Linked DNA regions of Rattus norvegicus. The protein of the gene in region 2 interacts with the protein of the main gene of each other region in a biochemical or structural test. Links are inferred from orthologs where the notes say so. Each region holds a gene or a part of one and is shown on either strand. Other genes may lie near its edges. The genes, in order: Numb, Itch, Ndfip1, Nfe2, Junb, Mlana and Wbp2.

What was found.
Region 1: the proteins of Itch (region 2) and Numb form a complex in vitro, tested with the Homo sapiens proteins (3 studies listed by BioGRID). The link is inferred for Rattus norvegicus from reciprocal best matches to the Homo sapiens genes ITCH and NUMB.
Region 3: the proteins of Itch (region 2) and Ndfip1 form a complex in vitro, tested with the Homo sapiens proteins (2 studies listed by BioGRID). The link is inferred for Rattus norvegicus from reciprocal best matches to the Homo sapiens genes ITCH and NDFIP1.
Region 4: of the proteins of Itch (region 2) and Nfe2, one has a biochemical effect on the other in vitro, tested with the Homo sapiens proteins (2 studies listed by BioGRID, with this or other methods). The link is inferred for Rattus norvegicus from reciprocal best matches to the Homo sapiens genes ITCH and NFE2.
Region 5: the proteins of Itch (region 2) and Junb form a complex in vitro, tested with the Homo sapiens proteins (2 studies listed by BioGRID, with this or other methods). The link is inferred for Rattus norvegicus from reciprocal best matches to the Homo sapiens genes ITCH and JUNB.
Region 6: the proteins of Itch (region 2) and Mlana form a complex in vitro, tested with the Homo sapiens proteins (2 studies listed by BioGRID and IntAct, with this or other methods). The link is inferred for Rattus norvegicus from reciprocal best matches to the Homo sapiens genes ITCH and MLANA.
Region 7: the proteins of Itch (region 2) and Wbp2 form a complex in vitro, tested with the Homo sapiens proteins (2 studies listed by BioGRID). The link is inferred for Rattus norvegicus from reciprocal best matches to the Homo sapiens genes ITCH and WBP2.

What each region holds. Positions count from the first base shown.
Region 1 is NC_086024.1:109,281,664-109,285,863, forward strand, and holds the start of Numb (protein numb homolog), read right to left. Parts: upstream 2,801-4,200; 5' UTR 2,727-2,800; intron 2,721-2,726; exon of another isoform or gene 2,556-2,720; intron 1-2,555. UniProt on the Homo sapiens protein: Regulates clathrin-mediated receptor endocytosis. Plays a role in the process of neurogenesis.
Region 2 is NC_086021.1:164,104,426-164,108,595, forward strand, and holds the start of Itch (E3 ubiquitin-protein ligase Itchy homolog), read left to right. Parts: upstream 1-1,370; 5' UTR 1,371-1,447; exon of another isoform or gene 1,448-2,823; intron 2,824-4,170. UniProt on the Homo sapiens protein: Acts as an Acts as an E3 ubiquitin-protein ligase which accepts ubiquitin from an E2 ubiquitin-conjugating enzyme in the form of a thioester and then directly transfers the ubiquitin to targeted substrates.
Region 3 is NC_086036.1:30,551,525-30,555,024, forward strand, and holds part of Ndfip1 (NEDD4 family-interacting protein 1), read left to right. Parts: intron 1-577; coding exon 578-665; intron 666-1,352; coding exon 1,353-1,477; intron 1,478-3,500. UniProt on the Homo sapiens protein: Activates HECT domain-containing E3 ubiquitin-protein ligases, including NEDD4 and ITCH, and consequently modulates the stability of their targets. As a result, controls many cellular processes.
Region 4 is NC_086025.1:136,260,734-136,263,159, forward strand, and holds the end of Nfe2 (transcription factor NF-E2 45 kDa subunit), read right to left. Parts: intron 1,737-2,426; coding exon 729-1,736; 3' UTR 501-728; downstream 1-500. UniProt on the Homo sapiens protein: Component of the NF-E2 complex essential for regulating erythroid and megakaryocytic maturation and differentiation. Binds to the hypersensitive site 2 (HS2) of the beta-globin control region (LCR).
Region 5 is NC_086037.1:40,079,881-40,083,410, reverse strand, and holds Junb (transcription factor JunB), read right to left. Parts: upstream 2,286-3,530; 5' UTR 2,016-2,285; coding exon 981-2,015; 3' UTR 501-980; downstream 1-500. UniProt on the Homo sapiens protein: Transcription factor involved in regulating gene activity following the primary growth factor response. Binds to the DNA sequence 5'-TGA[GC]TCA-3'.
Region 6 is NC_086019.1:236,895,228-236,897,380, forward strand, and holds the end of Mlana (melanoma antigen recognized by T-cells 1), read left to right. Parts: coding exon 1-91; intron 92-1,372; coding exon 1,373-1,441; 3' UTR 1,442-1,653; downstream 1,654-2,153. UniProt on the Homo sapiens protein: Involved in melanosome biogenesis by ensuring the stability of GPR143. Plays a vital role in the expression, stability, trafficking, and processing of melanocyte protein PMEL, which is critical to the formation of stage II melanosomes.
Region 7 is NC_086028.1:101,810,808-101,813,787, forward strand, and holds the end of Wbp2 (WW domain-binding protein 2), read right to left. Parts: intron 2,694-2,980; coding exon 2,559-2,693; intron 2,340-2,558; coding exon 2,211-2,339; intron 1,760-2,210; coding exon 1,683-1,759; intron 1,572-1,682; coding exon 1,518-1,571; 3' UTR 501-1,517; downstream 1-500. UniProt on the Homo sapiens protein: Acts as a transcriptional coactivator of estrogen and progesterone receptors (ESR1 and PGR) upon hormone activation. In presence of estrogen, binds to ESR1-responsive promoters. Synergizes with YAP1 to enhance PGR activity.

The DNA.
Region 1 (4,200 bases), on a different chromosome or scaffold from region 2:
ATCTGGTTTTCAAGAGAAAAAGTCCCCAGCTCAAAAAAAAAAAAAAGTAAAGAAAAAACACTGTTCTAAGAATAAGACAAAACATTCATATACACTTTAAATACAGCTTTAAATACTGTAAATTACATTTAGTTTCCTGAGACAAGTTAAGTATACAAGATATACTGAACCCATTTCACTCTCAGGAAAATAAAATCCACAAAACAAAAGCTCCTTCACAACCCACAAGTGTAGCTGAGCCTCTACCCCATCAGTATTTTTTCTCTCTCCTTTCTCCCTCCTTGGTTTTGTTGTTTAAAGCCTGGTCTTATTCTCTCGCTCAGGCTGGCCACTGCCTTCCAGCAATCCTCCTGCCTCAGATGTCAGAGTGCTGAGATTAGCCTCTAAAATTAAGCTATCCTTTCATTTTTCTCTCTTGCAATGTTTACTTTTGTGCTTATTTATCCTTTATACATGAAATATTCTAAACCAGTTCAATGTTGAGTTAGTTGATCAATGTTAATATGTCTTCTCAGTACAGAGAGAGGAAAACTGGCAACAGGAGGGCACAGGTGAAGCTGCAGAGGGCCATCTGAGGAACACCACTGTTTCTCTGCCTCACGTTCCCTGTAAGTGAGCATGCCAGGTTCAAGGGATCCAAAAAAGTTCCCCAGAATCAGAGCCTCAACACAATTCACAGTAATTCAAACTGCTGTATCACCACCTGAGAACTACCACAAAATAAATAACTTAATTCCTTAATATTGAAGGGATGCTTCTCCCATGCTGTGACTCAAAATAGTTTGTCAAACTTTTCTGACTGTAAGACAAAGATTTTACACTGTGACTTAAAATATATGTAAGAAGTTTCCCTAAACAAGAGTTTTCTTTATCAAGTAGTATATTCTATTTTATGTTCAATATTCCATTTTTTTAAGATCTCAAAAAAAAAATTCTTGGGTTAGGGGAGTAGCACTTTTTATAGAGCTCATGCCTAGCATGTGTGAGATATTTAATATCACCCACAGTACTGGGGGGGTATCCTTTATAATAAGATGTGTTCTCTCTCTCATCTCTTCAGCAAGATGGGCAGGTATTCTAGTATTTTAAGGTTCTGACTGCTACTACTTTTCACTAAAGCAAGTTGTTCTCAGAATATGATCCCTTGAAGAACACTAAGCATCGCTTGGGAGAAATTCTTGAACCCCACCCCTGGGCCTTCTGGATCGGAAATCTCAGGTGGAGCCAACCAACCTGTAGGAAGGTGTTTCCAGTCTTGGATCTTTCTATGTAACAAACCAGTGCTGAGTTCTGCACCAGTCACCACTCCAAAAATTCTACAAATTCATAAAAAAAAAAAAAAAACACACACACACACACAACTTTTTTGGAATACTTGTAGTCTCAGCACTCAGGAGACAGAGGCAGAGGGATCTCTATAAGTTCAAGGTGAGCTTGGTCTCACCAGGGCTTCAGAGCAAGACCCTTTCTGAAAAACGTATGAATGAATAATAAAATAAATACAATTTAAATCCCTCTCAGTAAAAACTGTTAGTATTACCAGAGAAGTAATAGTACAAGAATTCTAAGTTATTTTCAATTTAGCAGGGCATGCCTATCCGCTTCATGAATACCCTCTATCTGATCAAGTCACAGAAGTCCTTTAGTTCGGCTATCCCTTCCCCTTTCCTCTCAAATTCCCCATCCTGTTGATGTTCTTATTTTCCAGTATTTTCGCTGTCATCCTAAAACTTATTTCTAAAGCCCTAGCCTCCAAGACACTGTAACCTTGCTTTTAAGGACGGAGTCTCTGGTCCAGCTTGGCATATTAGTAATAATTAGTTTCTCCTGTTTTCGGAAGCCCTCACTTGCACCATTGTTAAATTCTCAGATCCACTGGCTTGGCCAGCTTCCACAAGACTACAAGACCACTCACCCACTCCCGGGCAAGTTTCCCCAGATCTCTCTTAACTCCCTTCCTCCAGGGAAATTACTCTTCCCCTCTTACCTCCAACCCTTTTTGCTTAAGGGGAACTTCCACTTTGCCGCTGAACCCTTATCCTAGTCTCAAATCCCAACTCGTGCGACTCGAAGCCGTCACTTTGAGGGTCCTCCCTCAGTCCAGACTCCAGTCCCAGACCCGCTGTGGGGGGCAGGGCGCCGCGGTCCCTCCCCGGAGGAGTTCGTTCAAGGTCTCCACCCCGCAGACCCTTCCTCCTCCGACAGCTGCCCTTCTCACGGGGGTTCGCACCGTACTCGGCGCCTTTCCTCCATTCCCTGTCACCCCGGACCCCCGCCACCCTCGGTCTCCTCACCTCCCACCACTCTCCGACAGGGGCCACTCCCAGTTCTCTCGGCCCCCTAGGCTCCCAGAGCACCGAGAAACCCCGGTATCCCCTCGTCTCTCCGGCCCCGGGGCCACTTGCTCCGGGTCGCCCCCACTCGCAGACCCCCGCCGCTCGGGTCTCTTCAGGAAGCCGCACACACACAGGCTCCCGTCACTGTACCCAGGGCTGCCTCTGGGCAGCCCAAGGGACCTCCCGGCCTGCCCCCGCCGGAGTCCCACGCCAACCTACCTTCCCAGCGCGAACTCCGACGGCAGGAACCCGGCCGATCTCCCGCCGCGCCCGACCCCGACGCACCCGGGCCCGCAGCCCTGGCCCCCGGCCTCTGCCTCCGGAGCGCACAGCTAGAGTTTCCGGCCCGCCACCGCCTCCGCACCTCAGGCCCGCCGCGCCCGCACTCACCTGCCGCTGGCCCTGCACAACTCCGGCGCCTCAGACTCTACCTCCGCCGCCAGTAGTCACCAAGCGCCACCACCTCCCCCATGACAACAGGCCCGCCCCATCCCACACTTCCAACTTATCCATTGGCTGGAGGGGCGGCGGCTCTCTGCTATGATTGGTTGACTCTTCCTGCCTGTCATCCTGTCTTTACCGCCCCTTTTCCTGGACCGAGTCTTCGCCCCCGCCCGGACCTGGACCGGCCTAGATCGTGCTTTAGTTGTAATTGGTTGATGATTGGGCAGTTCGAAGTTATGATAGGCTACTGATAGTGTCTGTTACCTTAACAGGCAAGGAGTGTGCTGGCCGCGGTTGGTTCAAGCCCCGTGCACAGTTTGGTTGCGCAGTAGAAGCAAAGAAGGGGCAGATGCTCACGTCCGAGGTTACCGGGAAGGGTTAACTCTTTGTTGTGGGGCTGGCGCAGTAAACTCTTACTTTTCTGGTTCTCTTCCTAAAAGGGGAAACATCTCTGCCAGCTTAAGGAGGGAACGACTTCAGGGGTTGTGTCTAAGAACGGTCCCATTCCTCAACAGAAAGGTATCTCATAGATTAAAATTTCCCTCGTGTTTTCTTCAAGTTTCCCTGAAGTTCTTTCCGGTAGTCTCCACGCTTAAGGTTAGGGCAGAGCGCAGCAGTCTGTTTCCATTGCATTTATAAATATCGTCAAGAAATAATATTTATAATTGTGTCTGTCGTTTTAAGAGTTTCCCAGCTTCCAGACCCACTCTCCTGGGTCTGCCAAGTGACCAAACAACCATCAAGATTTGAAAACATGGGCAGCAATTTATCCTTATAGTGCTTTGGAAATAAGAAGTTCACGCGCCCACTATCACTTCCTAGCACTACCTGAGTTTTAAGTTTAGGAGTTCTTGTATTACTAGCTGTCTGCCAGATACTAATCAATCAATCAATCAATCTGTGTGTGTGTGTCTCTCTTTCTCTCTCTCTCTCTCTCTCTCTCTCTCTCTCTCTCTCTCTCTCTCTCTCTCTCGTCCGTCCCTCCTCTCTCCCTTTCTCCTTTCGCTCTCTTTCTACCTCTCCTATTCTTAGCAGTCTAAATTAGGACCATTGAATGAATCGCAGGGCTTTTCCCCCCATCACTTGGTACAATACACGAAAATAAATGATTGCACTTCTTATTCATTTGGGTACAAATCTCAGTAGGCATTTTTTGAGAAATCTGGTGTTGCTATAAAAATTCTGCTCCTAGAAATGCATTCGTCATTAGCTCTCTCTGCTTTCCTTTTTCCTTTTCAGCGCTTTTCCTACTCCGAAATAAGAAAATGCTGGCCTGGTTACTCTCTCAGTTTCTAAGTCAAGTTTAAATATACCTTCTCCACAACTCCACCCGGAATATGCAAAGCTACGATAATAGATTTTTTTAAGGAAGTCTATGTTCTCAAACACAAGGTCTTGGAATAAAGGCCTTCCTGTGGCT
Region 2 (4,170 bases):
TACTTAAAAAAGCAACACCCCGCCCCCACACACCAAACCCAAACTTAGGGTTTCATCATGTAACATTAGTTGGTCCAGAAATCTCAAGATATCTAGGCCTGGCTAACCGTGAACCCATTTGTCTCTGTCTTCTAACTGAACCTGAAGCTTACTGTGTAGTCTAAGCGGGTCGACTAGAGAGCTCATAGGTTTGCCCGCCAGTGCTGGGGGAAAGGGGTCTGTGCCAGCTTTTACATGAATGCCGAGATTCAAGCATCCTTGTGCTTGCACGGCAAGAGTGTTTACCCACTGGACCATCTTTCCAACTCAGAATCGTTATTGTTTAATAAACTCTCTCGGCATGTAATTCATTTTCTTTTTTCTTTTTTCTTTTTTTTTTTTTTTTTTTCGGAGCTGGGGACCGAACCCAGGGCCTTGCGCTTGCTAGGCAAGCGCTCTACCACTGAGCCAAATCCCCAACCCCTCGGCATGTAATTCATAATATGGTGGTTTCAAAGGTATTTCAAAAAGTGTAAGTGACTTTCTAGATGGTTTCCTTACGAGGAGACAGGATAAACATTAATAGCAAAGTCTGCTAATTATTTAAGTGCTTAAGTAGTACCTCTATTACTACTACTGCACAGCCTATTAATTCTCACAAACACCTCCATGAAGGAGATTGGGGATAGGCTTAGATGCGATTTGCCTGGGTTAGATGCGATTTTCCTGCACGCGGTTTAATGTAAGCATCTGAAAAGGTAACAACAGACATTTTTCTCAGTTTTGTTGTAAACGTTAGGAAGTATGCTTTCCAGTTTTTAGAATTCAGGCCGCGTTGGCGCCGTCAAACTGTCACCCTCCTAAGAACGCCCTGTCAAAAGGTGGAGAAAGGAGAATTTGAACCCAGTCAGTGTAACTCCAGAAGGATAGAACCCGCACAGTGCTTCTTAAATTGTGATTCCTGCTGTCAGGAGTATCAATAGAGAACTTGTTAAAAATGCAAATTGTAAAACACCCCCCAACACCCCGCACTCCATGCCAGATCTACTGAGTCAGAAACTGGTGGTGGAGATCAGCAGTCTGTTTTTAAAAGCTGGTCAAATGATTCTGAGACACCCTAGCGTTTGGTAACAGTTTTTTGAGGTTCTGGCAGGGAAGAAGGGGTTAAAAGGAAGCAACAAGGAAGGGAGAAAGAAAGGAAAGGAGAAAGGAAAGAAGAAAAAGAAGGAAGAAAAGAAAAAGCCGTGGATATGTAGAGAGCAAGGCTAAATTCACTTCACCTGGAGGTGAGGAAAAATGATTTAGCAGGCTGGCGCGCAAAGCCTGTTGGGGCTTGTAGTCCGGACTGCGTCTAAGAGGACGCGCCTGCGCACTAAGTGTGAACTAGCTCTAGTCGCTGTAGTCGGGGCTCGGGACCGGCTGCCATCTTAGCGGAGGGACTGAGGAGTCGTCGCCGCCCCGAGTCCCGGTAAACACCCGCAGGCAGACTGGGGTCATTTCTGTGGCTTGGAGGGAGCTTGGATGAAAAGGCATGGAGAATGCGAAGGGTAGAGGAGTGTTGCGTTCGAGTCGAGACCTAAAGCCGGGGCTGCTCTTCCCACAGCCGGTGTCCGTGGGGGGCGCCCGGAGAGCGGGCTGGTGGCCGGAGCCGGGTGGCGGGTGGGTCAGCAGGTCGAGCTGAACTGCTAGTGCTTGGCCTAGGCGCCCGGAGCCTGTGGACCCGCAAGCCCCAAGTTGGGAGAGAGCCGAGCCGCGGCGGACGTGGGTAGGGTCCAGCCCCGCGCCCCGCTGCCGCGCCCGGGGGCTCCTCTCCTGCGGCTCGGCCTACGCGCGGGGCCCGGTGGCAGCGGCCCGCCCGCGCGACGTGGCCCTTTGAGGGGCGGCGGCCGGGCCCACCTGCCACTTGGCAGGCTCCCCCGAGACTTTTCCAAGCTCCCACTCGCGGAGGACCTTCCCCAGTGACTGCCTCCCCTTCTGTCTTGTACTTCCCTCCTCCCTCCATTGTCCCCACTCGTGGTGGTCCCGGCCCAGGCCGGCGCCGCCGACTTTTGCAGACGTGGAGCTGTCACAGTCCTTCCTACTGAGAGCGTACTTTTCTTTGGGAAAAAAAAAAGTAGAGGTGAGCGTATTTGAAAGGTGGAAGCCTGATGAGGGCAGGACTTTTAAATAGAAGACTCGCGTTTTGAGACTTAGTTCCTGGCTGCAACTTCAAAAGAGAAAAAATATATATAAAGGGTCAGTGCACCCGAAGTAGACATTGGGCCCCAATTAGAGATGTGACCAGGTGAACTTGCAAAGTACCCAAAATTCACGGTTCCCCAGTCACTTGTTTTCTTGACTGTGTTAGAATACTAATCCTGTTCAGTTTTCTGCTCTTTAAGAGCTGCAGTGAACTCTCTCTAAAGGGAGCATTGGGGGAGAAGAGTGAGGTTTTCTTCCTCTTCAAAGTTGACAGAACACAATCTAGCCCCCCATCATTGTTCTCTTAAGTGGGTGTTTCTCCTGTCTCCTTATCTTATGAAAGTAGGTAAAGACCGTGTCTGTTCACTCCCAGGATTGGCAAAGGGCTCCGTTCTCATCTGAAATAAAGTCTTTTAGGGGACACATTTGAAATTCAACCTTGTGTATCACAGGTTTACTTAAGGCTTAATTTTGCACGTTTAGGAAAGATTGAAATTCTCTTTTGAACAGTGAATATACTTTGTGTGCATGAGTTCAGGAATTCAGACTTTAGAATAGATGTCAACAAGGATATACTATGAAACCAAAAGCAAGTGCCTAATACCTTTTTATTGTATTCTAGAGTAAGTTCTACATTCTTTAAAAAAAAAAAAAAAAAAAACAAAACAAAAACTAGCTTTACTTAAGAGACAGACTGATCCATGGTCCCAGAATTTGTCCATTAGCACAGTTACAAGAGCTTTTGGGTTTTTTTTTTTTTGTTTTGTTTTGTTTTTGTTTTTTTTTCTTTTTTTCAGAGCTGGGGACCGAACCCAGGGCCTTGCGGTCGATAGGCAAGCGCTCTACCGCTGAGCTAAATCCCCAACCCCAGCTTTTGGGTTTTTTGTTTTTGTTTTGAGACATGATTTGCTATGTATCTCTGACTGGACTAGAACACACTGTAGTAAACTTAGACTGGCATCAAACATTCTGATTTCTTGCCTCTCCCTCCCTTGTGCTGGGATTATAGGTACATACCATCAGAATGGGCTCAGGAGAAATTTTTAGATTTGTTTATTTGTGTGTGTATGTGTGCGTGCGCACACCATGACTTGAGTTGGAAGTCTGAAGATAACCTTCAAGAGTGTTTCCTCTTTCCTGTGGGTTCCAGGGTTCAAACTCAGGTCATCGGACTTGTGTAGCAAGTGGCTTTCTGTTGAACTATTTTGCTGGACCAGGAGATCGTTGAAAGTAGAGTTTGCAGCCCAGTTGGTAGAGCACTTGTTTACCATAGACAAGAGCCAGAGTTTATTTAACTCTCAGCAGCATTGGGAGGTGAGGCCGGCCTGGGCTGCTCGAGACCCTTTTTAAAAAGTAGACGTTCTCAGGTCTCACTTTTGAGATTGATTAGTGGATCTGCATTGGCTTCTCTCACTTTATTACAAATGTGCTGTAGGTAGTGGGGATGGTTTTGGGAACACTGAGGCAAATAATAGTATGGTTATAACAAGGACAGCACAGAAAGCTTTGAGATAGGAGAGAGAGTGGAAGTGGTCAGTGTGGGAATTGTTGAGGGGAGTGGCAAGACCTGTCAATGAGAGGCAACATAGTGAGTTCCAGCCCATCAGAGCTACATAGTGGGCCCTGGCTCAAAAAAGATTTTGTCTATGGACCTGAAGTTCTAGAGTAGTGGTTCTCAAATCGAGGGTTTTGACCCCTTTGGCAAATGTCTAGCTCTAAAAATATTTACATTGTATTCATAACAGTAGCAAAATTATAATCATGCAGAAACAGCAAAAATAATTTTATGGTTGGGGTCCCCACTACATGGAGCACTGTATTAAAGGGTCACAGCGTCAGGAAGGGTGAGAGCCGCTGTTCTGGAGGATGAGTAGGAATGTGACAGGTGAAGAAAGGGAAGGTAGTGCCGAAGGAAACGCCTCAAGACGTTGAGGCGTGTGTGGTTTAGGAGGGATGTGGGAGAAAAGGGGTTCAGTGCACAGAAAGCAGTGGAGGAGAGGGTTATGGGAC
Region 3 (3,500 bases), on a different chromosome or scaffold from region 2:
CACCAAAGGAAGTCAGGACTGGAACTCAAAGCAGGAGTCAGGAACTGATGCAGAGGCCATGGAGGGTTGTTACTTACTGGCTTGCTCAGCTTGCTCTCATAGAACCCAAGACAACCAGCCCAGAGACAGAGGGCTGGGTCCTCCTTCCCGTGATCACTAGTTGAGAAAATGCCTCACAGCTGGGTCTCATGGAGGCATTTCCTCAACTGAGGCTCCTTTCTCTGTGATAACTCCAGCTTGTGTCAAGTTGACACACAAAACTAGCCAGTACACTCCTGTTCCAGGGGATCCAACACCCTCACACAGACATGCAGTCATAAACACCAATAAAATAAAAATAAATTTAATTTAAAAAATAAGAATAGTAACTAAGACTATGAAATAAATAGTTTAGAAGGAAGGCTCTGGAGATACTAAAATGATTGTATCTGCTCTAAGTTGCTGAGCGTTAACGCTCATAGTTCTGAGTTGAACCAGTAATAAATGCACTCTTAGATCCTTGTGTTTTTCCGGATGTCACTCCTTTGTCTAGAAGTAATTCATTATGACCTTGTCTCATTCTTTTTCCTTCATGTAGGATGAAGATTTTGTGGGTCGGGATGATTTTGATGATGCTGACCAGCTGAGGATAGGAAACGATGGGATTTTTATGTTAACCTTTTTCAGTAAGTTTGTACACACCAGGCACTCCTACAGACCCGAGTGCTCTGAGTTCATCAGTGGAAAGGATGATTAAAGCAGTTATGGGGCTGCATCTGTACACAACACAGGTCAAGTCCAATCTTCCAGGGTCCACTGCTGTCACACCCGCTCATACCTGTGTGGCCGAGTGAGAGTGCCAACTTTGATAGGTTTTGTCCTGTAAACGTCTATTTTTCTGATAGATCAAAGTCAATCTGGTTTCCCACTTTTTATGTTGTCTTATATTTATGTTTTTATGTTCCTCATTTAGCAATGGGCACTTTTTATTTACTCTATTAAAAGCACAGAAAGTGTAATGCAAAAGAAGGGATGCCAAGAGCTGTCAGAAAACAGCAGGAGGATGAGAAACTTGAATCACATTCCTCTGGGAGCTCCAGTTTAATTTCCAAAGCGTTTAGTTTACTTATTAACCTGTATGGCAGCAAAGACAGAAACAGGTTGTTGGGCATTGACAGCAGCACCATGGAGGATAAAGCAAGAGACTCAGAGTCTTTTCCTTTGCTCTTGAGGGAGATGGAATAAAGAGCGGCGCCTGTGGGGAGGCGGAGGTGGGCTGTCCAGGTGAAGCTGTCTTTCTGTCCTTGAGAGCCACACAAGCAGAGGCTGCTGCAGCGTGCACTTCTAACACACCTTTCCCTCCACTCTTACAGTGGCATTCCTCTTCAACTGGATTGGGTTTTTCTTGTCTTTTTGCCTGACCACCTCAGCTGCGGGAAGGTATGGGGCCATCTCAGGATTTGGTCTTTCTCTAATTAAGTGGATCCTTATTGTCAGGGTAAGTTGCATAGCAGAGAACATAGATTGTGAAGAGAGGCAGTAATTAGAATGACTTGAATGTTGTCATTTTTGCCTTTTGTTATTTCGACATGTAAAGTGATAATTTGGTTTGTCTTTGTTCTGTTTCCACGATAAACTGAGCTAAAATCAATTGCAGAGTTCCTGTCTCCATATTTCATGTTCAAATTCAAGCAGGTGATCTATCTTACAGGTTGTTTTGATGCTTAAAATATGCTAATGAATGTATAGTCTGGAGTTTTTATAACACAAAGAGTATTTGCAATCTCACAAGAGGTAGGCATCCTTCACGTTAATTCTCTTGAAATTTTAATCTCACAACTTTATTTATCTTTCTTTAATTTTTCCTACTAGGACTGAGGTTAAGTATTTACTGCTCCATAGGGAATTTCTTTTAATAAAATTATAAAAATGTGTGTCTTTAATATAAGAATACCCAGGTGAAATTACATAAAATACTTTAAATTCTAGAACATCTAGGGGTTTTTTTTTTTTTTTCTTTTTTCTTTTTTCTTTTTTTTTCGGAGCTGGGGACCGAACCCAGGGCCTTGCGCTTGCTAGGCAAGCGCTCTACCACTGAGCTAAATCCCCCACCCCACATATAGGGTTTTTAAAAAACAAAATTAGCTTTAATTTATTCAAAGTCACACAGCTATATAAAATGGCTTCAAAGAGGGAGCCAAAGTCCACAAGATGCTTGGCCTGGGTTTCTAGAAATTCTTTAAGCCCAAAATATGCATATGCTCAGTCTCCTAGAACTCAGGGCTTGGGCCCTCCCAGTGTTATCAGAATACTCCTTGATGGAGTGCCTGATCTCGACGGAGCTGCTGTGAGAGTTGAGGATTTGATACAAAGTATACATTAAAAGTTCAGATGTTTCTTGGTGGTAATGATGATCACCTTTAATCCCAGCACTTGGGAGGCAGAGACAGGCTGATCTACAGAATCTCAGGATAGCCAGGGATACACAAGAGAAACCCTGTCCTAAAAAACAAAAATAGAAAGCCTGATGTTGAATCAGGTTCACCAGTGGGTTCAATAAAGTATACTTTGCTGCTACACATAGGCAACCCACACTGTAATCCCAGCAGAGATGGGTGGGTCTGTGAGTTTAATCCAGCCTGTCACATAGTGAGTTCCAGGCCAGCTAGGGCTGTACAGAAAAGGCTGTCTACAAACAAACCAAGTCTCCTTTGTCTTCAGATGAGCTTGTTGCTATTGTCAACCTGTCTGGCAAAGCCAGATTACTATAATTCGGCATATCGTGGCTGGGAAGATGGTTCAGTAGATATGAGCACCTGCTTTCAAGTGTGAGGACCTCAGTTGTCCCCACCCACATAAAAAGATAACTGTCCAAGTCTGTAACCTCCACAGTGCTGGAAGTGGAGATGGGCAGGGCCCAGAGTCTGCTGGCCAGCAGTTTAGTCCAAAGGCAAGTGTCTGGTTTAGTGAGACCTTGTCTTGAGGAGATTAGGTGAAGAGTGGTAGAAGCAGACATCTGATGTCCTGCTCTGGCTTCTGTTGTGTGTCAGAACACAGGTACATCTTTCATTGTGCATGGCATTACACATAAACAACACACATAAGTAATTAATGGATGTTAATTGTCCATTGCAGTTTTTCACAGCAGTTCTAAAGAGCTCATTAGCTATTTTGGGAATCCAAAATCCTTTGAAAATTAGATAATTGTGGGCTTTTCCCTGGATAGCTAATTTATATAGCTAAAAGCATGGACTTTAAGGAAAATAAGAAAAGAGTCAAAACTCGTGGACTTTTAAGACCCAACTGCAAGAGAAGTTGTTCCTTCTTTTTAAATTTTATTGTTAACTTTATTAATAAATAAAATATTAAGATCTAGGGAAAGTCCTTGCCACAAAATTGTGATGTCCTAAAACCTATGTAAAAGCCAGATGTAATATAGTACATGGTTTGTAACACTGGTGCTCCTGTGGGGAGATAAGAGGCAAAGAAGACTCTCTGGAAGGGAAGCAGGTCAGCTAGTA
Region 4 (2,426 bases), on a different chromosome or scaffold from region 2:
AGCAGTTGTCTTAACCAAGGATTGGTTTGTAGCCTTTTCAGTTGCCTAGCTTTGAGGCTCTGGTACAATGCATGCCTGAATGTGGGACATTACTAAGGTGTGACTGAAATGCCTTCAACTTTTGAGTGCTTGTTCAAACTTTACAATCCAGTCACTTAGGCTTCAAAAGATCTTTGGCCTCTCAGACCCAGAGTGAAAAGTAAGCAGGAGAAAAAGTTTGTGAATCTATCAGGAGTGTGTGTGTTTTCCAGAGACCTTCCACAGAGGGATACAGCAGCTCTTGGCATTTATGAAATAAGGGGGCCACCAAGGACAGGAGTTCCTCAAAGCACTTGGGCTCCTGACTCTGGAAGCTGCTGTGAAGGCAGGTGGATTGTCAAATTGCTCATGCCCTAATTTTATGTATGCTTTAAATGAGCTTAGGATTTCCTTATCTCCAATAAACAGCGGTTTCTGAGACAGTTTAGCTTCATGATCCTCAAAGAAGACACAATGGAAAGCTATTTCCACACAGCTCTTTATGGACCAAAGCTTGGACAAGAGGTAGAGGTGGGGACCTGAGAAGCCAACACTCACCTGGCCTCCAGGCAAACCTCAAATACATCTTTGAACTTCCAAATGGTCTTTTGGTCTGGAGAACTCAGCCTTGATTGGGGATTGGGAAGTACCTTTATCAGAAGGGAATGAGGGGAGTTCCTAGCACCAGTGTCCACCCCCTCTAGGCCAGCTCAATCTGTGGCCTCCATTTTGGTCCCACGGGGTACCAGAAAGATGGCCCCATCAGCAGCCTGTTGCAGTACATATTCCTCTGGTGAATAACTGTTGCCAGATTCATCCCGAAGATGCTGGAAAATATCATGGTACAGCTCTGTCAGCTGTTGGCGCATGACCTCCAGAGTGCGGTCAGCCTCCCCTCTGGCTCTGAGGAGCCGCTCCCTTTCACTGCCCAGCCGCTCCAGCTCTCGCTCCAACTGCACAATGGTTTCCAGTTTTCTCTTGCGACAGTTCTGGGCTGCCACCTTGTTCTTGCCCCGCCGACGGATGTCCCGAACTAGAGCCAGCTGGCTCTCCGTTAGCGGATACTGTGCCAACAACTCATTAAAGTCATCTACCGGCAAGTTAACTATCTTGTCCGTAGGGAAAGGAATCTTCATGGCCAGGGCCCGCCGCTCATCCCGACTCCCTGCCTCCCCACGGACAGCAGGCTTAGCCCGCACTGGACCGGAGGATGACTCTAAGACCAAGGGTGTTTCAGTGGGCGGAAGAGTATAGTTGGGGTGGGCCAAAGAGTTGGGCATAAGTGAGTAAGGGTACTCCACCGGGTACATGTCCACATACTCGCTCCTCCGCCTGCCAGCCTCTGTACCTTCTAGCTCAAGAGATTCTGCATCGCTGTAGTTGAGGGATAATCCCGAGTCAGATTCTGGATCTTCTTGGGGCTTGGGTTGCCCCACTGGCAGCCCAATGTCCAAGAGAGCTAAGGGGTCTGGGAGGGGCTCATTGAGCAGGCCTGAAAGGGTAAGTGGCTTTGACACGGGTATGGCTATGTTGCCATAGGAGTATGGGAGGTCTGGAGCATGGGGAGTGGATGCTGGGAGCTCATAAGGTGGTGGAGGAAGGGTGAAGCCTGCATCTGGATGAATTGAACAGGGGCAGTATGTTGGAGGTGGCAGTGGCCCAGGGTATGGGGTGGGTGCTTGAGGCTCAAAAGATGGCTCACTTGGAACATTTAGACCCTGCAAAGAGAGAAAAAAAAAGAGGCTTAGAAGATAGACTATGCTGGACAGTGGTGGTAAACCCCTTTAATCCCAGCATTCAAGAGGCAAAGGCAATCTGAGTTCTAGGCTAGCCTGCACTATACAGTAAATACCAAGACTACATAGAGAAACTCTGGGAAAAAGAAAGAAGCTGGGCATGGTGGGACACACCTTTAATCTCAGCACTCTGGACACAGAGACAACCAGATCTCTGAGTTCAAAGCCACCCTGGTCTACAGAATGAGTTCCAGGACAACTGAGACTACTCAAAGAAATCCTGTATCAAAATAGGGAAAGGGGGGTTTGGGGTTATGAAGAGGAAAAGGCTGTTTAAGCAGGAATAAAAGTTGGGATGGAGTTAAGGGGATGTTAGCCGGGAAACAGGGAAGGAGAATAACAATCAAAATGTAAATAAGAAATACTCAAGTTGGGGTTGGGGATTTAGCTCAGTGGTAGAGCACTTGCCTAGGAAGCGCAAGGCCCTGGGTTTGATCCCCAGCTCCGAAAAAAAGAACCAAAAAAAAAGAAAAAAGAAAAAAGAAATACTCAAGTTAATAAAGATAAAAAAAAAAAAAGCAGGAATAAAAGTCACTGTTGAGACCCTCAGAGAAGACAACCTCACATTGAACTGGCTACAGAGTCTTCTTTATCAGGAGAAGCCCTTACTAG
Region 5 (3,530 bases), on a different chromosome or scaffold from region 2:
CGCTCGGGTGGCTCCCAGGGCTCCGGAGAGCACAGCCCTCCCACCGCGGGCGCCCTGGACCCCGGCCTGGGGCTTTCCGCGCCCAGAAAGCCGCCTGCCCGGGAAAATCCCGGCCCCCTTCCCGGCGCCGCGGCCCTGCCCGGCAGAGAAGGGGGAGGGGATTCCCGGAATCTGCCCGGAGACCGCGCTGGCGTCACTGAGCTGAATAGGCCCATATATGGGCAGCGCTTCCGTAACGTCAGCGGGGAAAGCCCCGGCGCACGGGGCTGGGCGGGGCCGTGCTTGCACATTCCGGGTTTTGTCCTGGGCCTGGATAGCTTGTTCTCGGCCACTGCCTGCCTGCGCAGCGTCTGGTGCCAGGACTCAGGGGATGGGAGGTTTGAGCGCTTGTACTGGACCTTAAGATACCCGAAAGGAGAGAACTACAAACTGCCCCGGGCTTGGGGCAGCCCAATCTTCTCCCTCCATCCGCCCAGCTTGGAAGAAAGAGACCACAGAAATTAATAAAGACTTTTTTTTTACTTAAATAGATTCAATAAAAAGTCAAACACACACACAAACACATCTTAAAATAGACTTTAGACACGAAGTGCGTGTTTCTTCTCCACAGTACTGTGCAGAGGGGGAGGGCAGGGGGCGGAGGTTCCTCCCTAGTATCCCCACAGGCTGAGTACCAGGCGGCGGGGCCAGCTCCGCCGCGACAACCCCCTTCTCCCCTCCCTGTTAAATACACAAATATATTATATTCAATATGAATTCAGTCTCTTTCCAGAAAAAAAAAACATACAAAATACGCTGGAAGGGGGCCATGTAAACCTCGAGGTGGAAGGACTGGGCGCAGGCGGGCAGGCCAGAGTCCAGTGTGTGAGCTGCGCCCCAGACCTCTGGGCGAGTGCCCATCGCCTGCCCCCCTCACCCCAGTGGGGGGCGGGCGCCCAGCCTTCAAGGCTGGGGGTGTCCGTATGGAGCAAGGGAGGCTCTCAGAAGGCGTGTCCCTTGACCCCTAGCAGCAACTGGCAGCCGTTGCTGACGTGGGTCATGACCTTCTGCTTGAGCTGCGCCACTTGCTCCCGTAGGAGGCCGGCAGTACTTGACAGCCCCGCGTTCTCAGCCTTGAGTGTCTTCACCTTGTCCTCCAGGCGCGCGATGCGCTCCAGCTTCCGCTTCCGGCATTTGGTGGCCGCCAGCCTGTTCCGCAGCCGCTTTCGCTCCACTTTGATGCGCTCCTGGTCTTCCATGTTGATGGGGGACACAGGCGGCGTGGCGTCGCGGCTGCGTGCCTCCGGTACGGTCTGCGGTTCCTCTTTAAAGGCGGAAGCGCCGCGACTCAAGCCCAGCTGCGCCGGGTGGCCGCCCGCAAAGGGTGGTGCATGTGGGAGGTAGCTGATGGTGGCCGTCGGGTATGAGCTCCCAGTCCCGACGGCGGTCCCGGAACCTCCAGAGGGTGCAGAGGCTGGGGAGTAACTGCTGAGGTTGGTGTAGACCGGAGGCGGCTCCGGACCAGCATAGACGCCCCCAGGCCCGGCCTGGGGACCCCCGCTGGCGCCCAGAGACACGTTGGGGGGCGTCACGTGGTTCATCTTGTGCAGGTCGTCCAGGGCTTTGACAAAACCGTCCGCAAAGCCCTCCTGCTCCTCGGTGACGCCGCCCCCTGTACCTCCGCCGCTGCCGCCCCCACGGGGGTAAAAGTACTGTCCCGGAGGCGTGGGCGTCGTCGTGATCACGCCGTTGCTGTTGGGGACGATCAAGCGCTCCAGTTCCGTGGAGGCTAGCTTCAGAGATGCGCCTGTGTCTGATCCCTGACCCGAAAAGTAGCTGCCTGCCCCACTGCCCTCTGGGCCTGGACCCCGCGCCCCAGGACCCTTGAGACCCCGATAAGGATCTGCCAGGTTGAGCGCTAAGGTGGGTTTCAGGAGTTTGTAGTCGTGAAGAGAAAGACTGCCAGGGCTCCGACCGTATCCTGCCGCTGCGTATGAGTCGTCGTGATAGAAAGGCTGTTCCATTTTCGTGCACATCCGGGCGGCCTGGGCGATCTGGGAAAGGTCCCCCTGAAGGGCCGCTCCGGGCCTCGCTGCGGCGACCGGCGAGCTGTCCTCGGCTGTGGCGGGACCCGGCGTCCGGTCGCGCGTCCTCGGGAGCTGGAGACGGTCGGCAGCGGCCAGTTGGTAGCTGTGCGTAAAAGCGCTGCCCGGCTTCTGGAGCTTTTCTCTCCCTCCGTGGTGCGCCCGCTTTCTCAGCGTCTCTTCTCTCAGCTCCCCGCTCCCTGCAGGATCCAAAGCTGGCCTGGCCACCCTCAAGGTCCCCAGTGTTCGGCCCCAGCCCCAAGCTTTTATACTGAATTTGTCAGCTGCGGAAGTGCACTCCGATTGGCCGACGCGGGAGCCAGGCCCCCGCGGCCCCCTCCTAGAGCGTGGGGAAGGGGAGGAGGCGGCTCGCGTCACTGTCAGGAAGCGCGTGTCCTTGTAAACAGCGGCCACGAGCCCGGTGGCTCTGCGCGGCTGCAGGGGGAGGGGCTGTAGAGACAGAGACACTCAAGCAAAGGGATGTTGAGGGACCGAGGCACATAGGAGTTAGGACTGCGGGAGTACAACCCGGTGGCTATGAGATCTCTGTACACTGCAAGTGGAGATGGGGTGCCTCAGGATATACCCGGAATAGTCTCGCGGGACCCACAATAGCTGTGACTTGTGAACTGACAATATACTAGAAGACCCCAGAAAACAGGGAAGGTACAAAACGGGAGCAATTGTTAACATTTGACCTAGGAATTAACTAGAGGCCCCGAGTGCAAAGTGCTTAAAGAACAGGTGGGAGAGAAGGTTCAGGAAGCAGGGTCAGGTACCTATTGTATAAGAAATGAGTAGGGGCTCTAAAGCCCACAGATGAGTCTGAGGGTTCTCCCATAAGTGGAAAAGGGGAGTAATTTTGGGGAGGTCAATTTAGATATGCAGAAAGTGAACAAGGGTCCTGGAAACGCTGAGGCAATAGGAGTAGAAGATGGGAACATATCTAGCAAAGATTGGGGTCACTGTGATTATTTGCAGAACTCTGATGGAAAGTTAAAATGGTCAGGACATGGCTTCCTTCTGAGCTGTAAAGGCGATGCCAGGAGGGTATCTGAGATCTACCCGAGAGGACGACTTGGAGGATCCCAGAGACAAGGGGCTTGTAAGAATGAGACTGTACCTCGTAAGTGGTCTCTAGGCACTGACATACCCTGTACCTGAGTCCAAAGCCTCCCCTTAGTCACTCTGGGCTCGCCCGATATCCTGTCAGCTTTTGGAGGGCCGAAGAGGCGGGATAGCTGGGGTGCGGTCGCCCAACCCCACTCCCTTCCTTAGAAACAGGCTAGGGAAAAAGAGCCGAGGCAGGAAGTGTGGCAATAGCCCGGAGGGGGAAAGAGCCCGGCCCTGTCTCGTCATTCTGAGCCTAAGGGTTGGTGCACCCTAGCCTGGGCCTGCCAAATTCTGCGCCTGGGAAGAGGAACCCCAGCGAGCGACCCCTGGGGAAGTCACAATCCAGCTGAGTAC
Region 6 (2,153 bases), on a different chromosome or scaffold from region 2:
TCAAAATACCTCCAGGGAAAGATGCTTATGTGAGAGTCTTGATCACCAAGACAGCCGACTGTCTTCTCAAGAAAAAAACCACCAACCTGTGGTATGTGGCCATTGTGCATCTGGGCACTTTCATGTCAGCTGCTTTCAGCCCAAGTAAACAAAGTGATTTCTACTAAAGCATAATCTTGAGTCTACTCAGTGTCACTAAACTGTTACTGACCTATGGCAATGCTCACGATTAGGACTAGCATCTGAGCTCAAAGATAGCCCTTGCTTTGCATGCAGGAGGCCCTGGATGCGAGCCACACACCTGCCCCTCCCCCGTTCAGGTCAGAACGGTAATTCTTGTTTTGTATATTTTACAAACAAACAAAAACAAACATGGGAAATGTTTTTTTTTTTTTTAAAGCTGTGTCCTCTTTTACTTAGATTTTACAGCCAATGAGAGTCCTACATGTCAGAGACAGGGGAACATTTTCCCCTGTAGAGCTGAGCCACAACCACATGTGTTTAACACTTGAAACCCTAGTTGGGAAAAGGTTACTGGGCATTTAAGTTCTGCACGGAACTTGCATGCATTTCTGCTGCATTCACTCCTGTACCTTAGGCATATCAAAGTAATGCATGGCGTTGATTCTGGAGTCAGACAGCGGGGCTGTGTCTCAGCGCCATGACTTCCTGTTTGTGAGCTAGGGCAAGTGCTGTTTTTATGCCTTGGTTTTTCCCCTGGAGAAAACTCCTTAGCTGAATGATTGGCACACTGTGCTCAGCTGGTAGGTCCAAGTGCCTCTCTGACTCTGCCTTTTAATGATGTGTATCATCAATGCCCCTCCCCCAAGTCCTACATGTGCTTTTAGACACAACTAACAGGGACCCATGTGGTGAAGATGAAGTGTTTGTTGAGTGGTACTCAGGATTCCAGAATCCATGGGTAGGTGAGTTGCCTCAGGGCTGCTAGGCCTGACAACTTTGAGGTTGGTCCCTGAGACCCACCTGAACCAAGGAGAGAACCCATCCCCCGCAATGGTCCTCCGACCTCCACATGGCTATGGCACCGGTGCTGCCCCCATAAACAAGATGGCTAAATAAATAAAACCCAATTATTTCATTAGGACTTGGAGATTCTGAGGGACAATCTGAGCATAAATACACTTTTCAATTTTGGGAATATCTTTGTCTCTTTCTCTTCCCTCCAACATTTCAGTATACAAGTTGGTAAAATTTAACAATTACTCCATTGGAGGAAAAAATCTGTACAAACGTTTAGAAGCTTCAGTCCACAGGGAAAGCATAAATGCAATGCAAACTGCCTTGCCCCTCCCCCCCCAGACCATGCACACCGCTGCCAAGTCTACATGCTGCTCCTCTCTCCTCCTCACAGGTTCCCAACGCTCCACCTGCCTATGAGAAGCTCTCTTCAGACCACTCGCCACCACCATATTCACCCTGAGAGCCGAGAAGCTGCTAAGAATTCTGAAAGTTTCCTTCATGCTTTCGCTTTAAGGCTGAGTAGATGCCCATGTTTTGCTTTAGAATGCTATAGAATGTACAGCTATACTAACAGGCCAGGGTTAAATTCTTGGCAGGGCAAGCAGAAGGGTGGCGAGGAATGGTGAGAAATATTAACCTTGGAAAAGCGTCAATAAATATCTCAACGTATATTATCTGTCCCAGTGGCAATGCCATTAAATCATCATTGTTAGCATTGTTTTGAGGGGTGAACTCACCTGGATGACCAGGGAGCCTCTGATTTGCAAAGAAATTTTTATCTTTATGTGTGCCCACATTTATGTATGTGCATTTGCATGCTGATTCCTGCTGAAGCCGGAAACTGTTAGATTCCCTGGAGTCGGAGTTACAGGAGGCTTTGAGCTGCCTCCTGTGCGTGCCGGAACTAAATGAGTTCTCTGAAGGAGCAGGGAGCACTTTTAACAATGCAGCCACCTCTTCTGACTTTCTCCTGCTTCCTAAAATGAAACGCAGCTAGCTTTCAAACTACTCTTCAGCTTTTAAAAGCAACCTATTGGCCAGTGTGAGCTGTGCAGAATTGCCACAGATGTTATGGGCTGTTCAGAAAGGATCCCGTTACAGGTTTAAAACAACTTGCTTCTGCTGGACAATGTTAACCACGGTGCTCTGTGTTCTAAAGGGATCCCACAGTA
Region 7 (2,980 bases), on a different chromosome or scaffold from region 2:
TCACTAGCCCTGAGGCCCCCGGGGGTGGTGGCAGAAGAGGTGGCGAGGCCTTGGAGCAGCCTTTGCACATGGGAGCATTTTGGTCAGGAGAGGACACTGCGGCACTGGAATCTCCCACAGCTCTTTGGCTCACTTCGAGCGGGGTGCGGGGTACAGGTCGGCTAAAGACTTTGCTTTATTCCCACGGTAGGTCGTCTTCTTTAGGTAAGGCAGCATGGAGGCACACACCATGGTAGCCAGCCCAGCAACTCTCCCTCACATTAGTCCTGGCATGCCTTGCTCAGGAGGGGATTGGAAGCAGCAGATGGGACACAGGCCTCTCTCCTGTCCCCCGCTGGCAGTGTGTGGCACACGCACCATCCCAGACAGGTGCGGTGCCTCTGTTAAGGAGACTGAGAGCCACACGAACACTCTTAAGACTCAGTGAGGAGGAAGCTGGCTTCTAGCTCCGCCCCCAGCAGCCACCTCACCCTGGTCACCACACAGGAGTCAAGTGAGCATCCAGTCACTTCATTTTTTTTACTATTTCACAGTTGTAGCAAACAAATCAAGGTGCAAACAGGGTTTATTTCACATTAATATATTAACTGGACTTTTTGTGTCAAATAAATAGGAATTCTCTTTAAATAACCATCTCCTTGTTTTGCATCCAGACCAGGAACAAACGAGAGCAACTCTTAGTGCATCCAGGGGGCGAAGCGCATGGAGAGGCGGGCTTGGGGTATAGGTCATGTGGTTGGAGGAATCCCAGACCAAAAGGCCCAATGGGGCAGACATGCATTCTCTATCGCTCCTGCAGAGAAGGCCCTTGTGAAGGGAAAAGGAGAGTGAATAATCCCCAGAAACACCAGCGGAGGGATGGAGGGGCAGGGGGGCGGAGGGGCAGAGGGGCTTCCTCTCTGCCACAGTGGCTTTGCTTCTGATGCCAGCCACTGGAAGCTCCAGGTAAAATCCCTGGAAGCAACAGAAAGAACAAGCGAGGCCGGGTGAGTGTGACTGTCTGCTGGGACAGCGGCCTTCCAGGGCCAGGCACACGCGGGGGGGGGGGGGGGGGGGGAAGGAAGGGGAAGGAATGTGAACATGACTGGGCAGGGCCTGTGGGAGACGAGGCTGGTCTTCTGAGCCCAAGAGATGAAGAACAATGGTCACCAGGCTCAAGGGGCTGGACAGCAGTAGAGGAGTGGCCAGAGAGTCCCTCTGTGTGTGTGTGTGTGTGTGTGTGTGTGTGTGTGTGTCCACTATCATGAGGAACAAGGGGTTACCCCGTGCTCCTGTGAGCTCCAGAGATGGTTAAAGGGAGGCTGGGTAGAACAGCGCTGAGAGCTGAGCTAGGGTGGGAAGCTGGGACCCTCTCAGAGGCCAGGAGTTCCACCTTTCTATCAGGGCTAGCTCCTGCTAACTTTATACTTAGGCCTGGGGAAGAACAGGGCCTTCCCTGGCCTCCTGGAATCCCAGATGCAGCTCCATGGGAGGCCCAGGAAGGGGTCTTCAGGTAAGAGGCAGGAGGTGGGCAGGGTCTACTGGGTCTTCTTGTCTTCTGGAGGGTAGTAGGGTGGTGGTGGTGGCTGGCTCTAGAGAAAAAAGCACAAAGCTCCCATGAGACATCATAGGACTCTCTGTGCTCGCTTCCAACACCAGCTCCCAGCCTGCGTGACTGAGAAGGCGGTCTCCTGCCAACTCACCGTGGGCATGTAGACATTGTGTGGGTTGCCCGGGTTGTAATAGGCGCTGGCAGCGGCTTCTGCAGCCTTGGCCTCAGCTGTGAACACAAACACACAGGAGACGGCAACAAGCAGTAAGCCTCTCCTCACCCTCACCTGAGTTCCTAGGATCATTTGTAGATGAGAACACCGAGGCACAGAGGGTGACCGTCTGGGTCCAAAAAGGTCACCACAAGCCAAGAAGCCACCACAAGCCAAGGAGCTGCAGAGGCCTCATCTCATTGTACCTTCAGATTTGTGTTCTGTGGCACCTGGGATAGAACCTAGGCCACCCCATTCAGGCAAGTGCTCACTGAACCACACCCAGCCCTTGGAATATAGCTCTTCACCACCAGGCTACCGCTTGTTGATGCCCTTGGGTGGTCTGTAACCCAGGCCCTTCGTCACTCGAGGGTCAGTAGTCTCCAGCCATTGTGTGGAGTTCTCTGTAAGATCTTGGGGAAGAGAGGGCTGGCCCTGAAGGACAGCTAGAAGCTGAGGGGGCCTCACCTGCAGGAGTAGGGGGGGCACTGGGGCCGCTGACGACGGGAGGCTCCATGGGCCCAGGATAGGGTGGTGGTGGGGGCTGTACATATCCCATGGCCCCGTCCATCATAGGAGGCCCAGGGTAGAACTCTGCTTGGGAAGAGAGCGACAGAGACAGTGAGCGGCCTACTTGGGTCCCTCATAAGGCTACATCTGGAGTGGCTGTCCTATCTAGTTCCTTGGAGTGCCCTCTAAACTCTCCAGTGTCTGTTAGGCCTAAAGCATGAAAGGCACATCTCCCCTCGGCAGCTTGAAGGTATGGTTAGTGGGTGGGTGCGGAGGCTGAGTCTGGGCAGCAGAGGACACACTCACCGGGTGGGGGCGGTGGATAGGGGTAGCCAGGAGGGCAGGGGTACATTCCATTGGCGACTGGTGGGGGAAAGACATAGGCCCCGCTGGGCATGTAAGGGTACCCATAGGCTCCATTGGGGACTTCACCTCTGGAGGCTATAAGTACAAGGGGAGAGAGGCATGAGTGTCACCTGCTCCAGGGACTGATGGGCCCCAGGACTGTGCCCACAGATGTGCCCTACCACCATTCCACTGCCCACCCCAAGGGGTCTGCCTAGGTCACCATGTGGTGAGGGGAGGGTGGAAAAAAAAGGCCAAAGGGCAACATGGTGGGGTCAAGGACAGGCGTCAGAGGAAGCGAGGGAGAGCTGTGCTGGGGGGGAGGGAGTATGAGAATGAGCCCAGCACTGGGTGATTTACAATGGCGGCTGGATGGTAGTTTA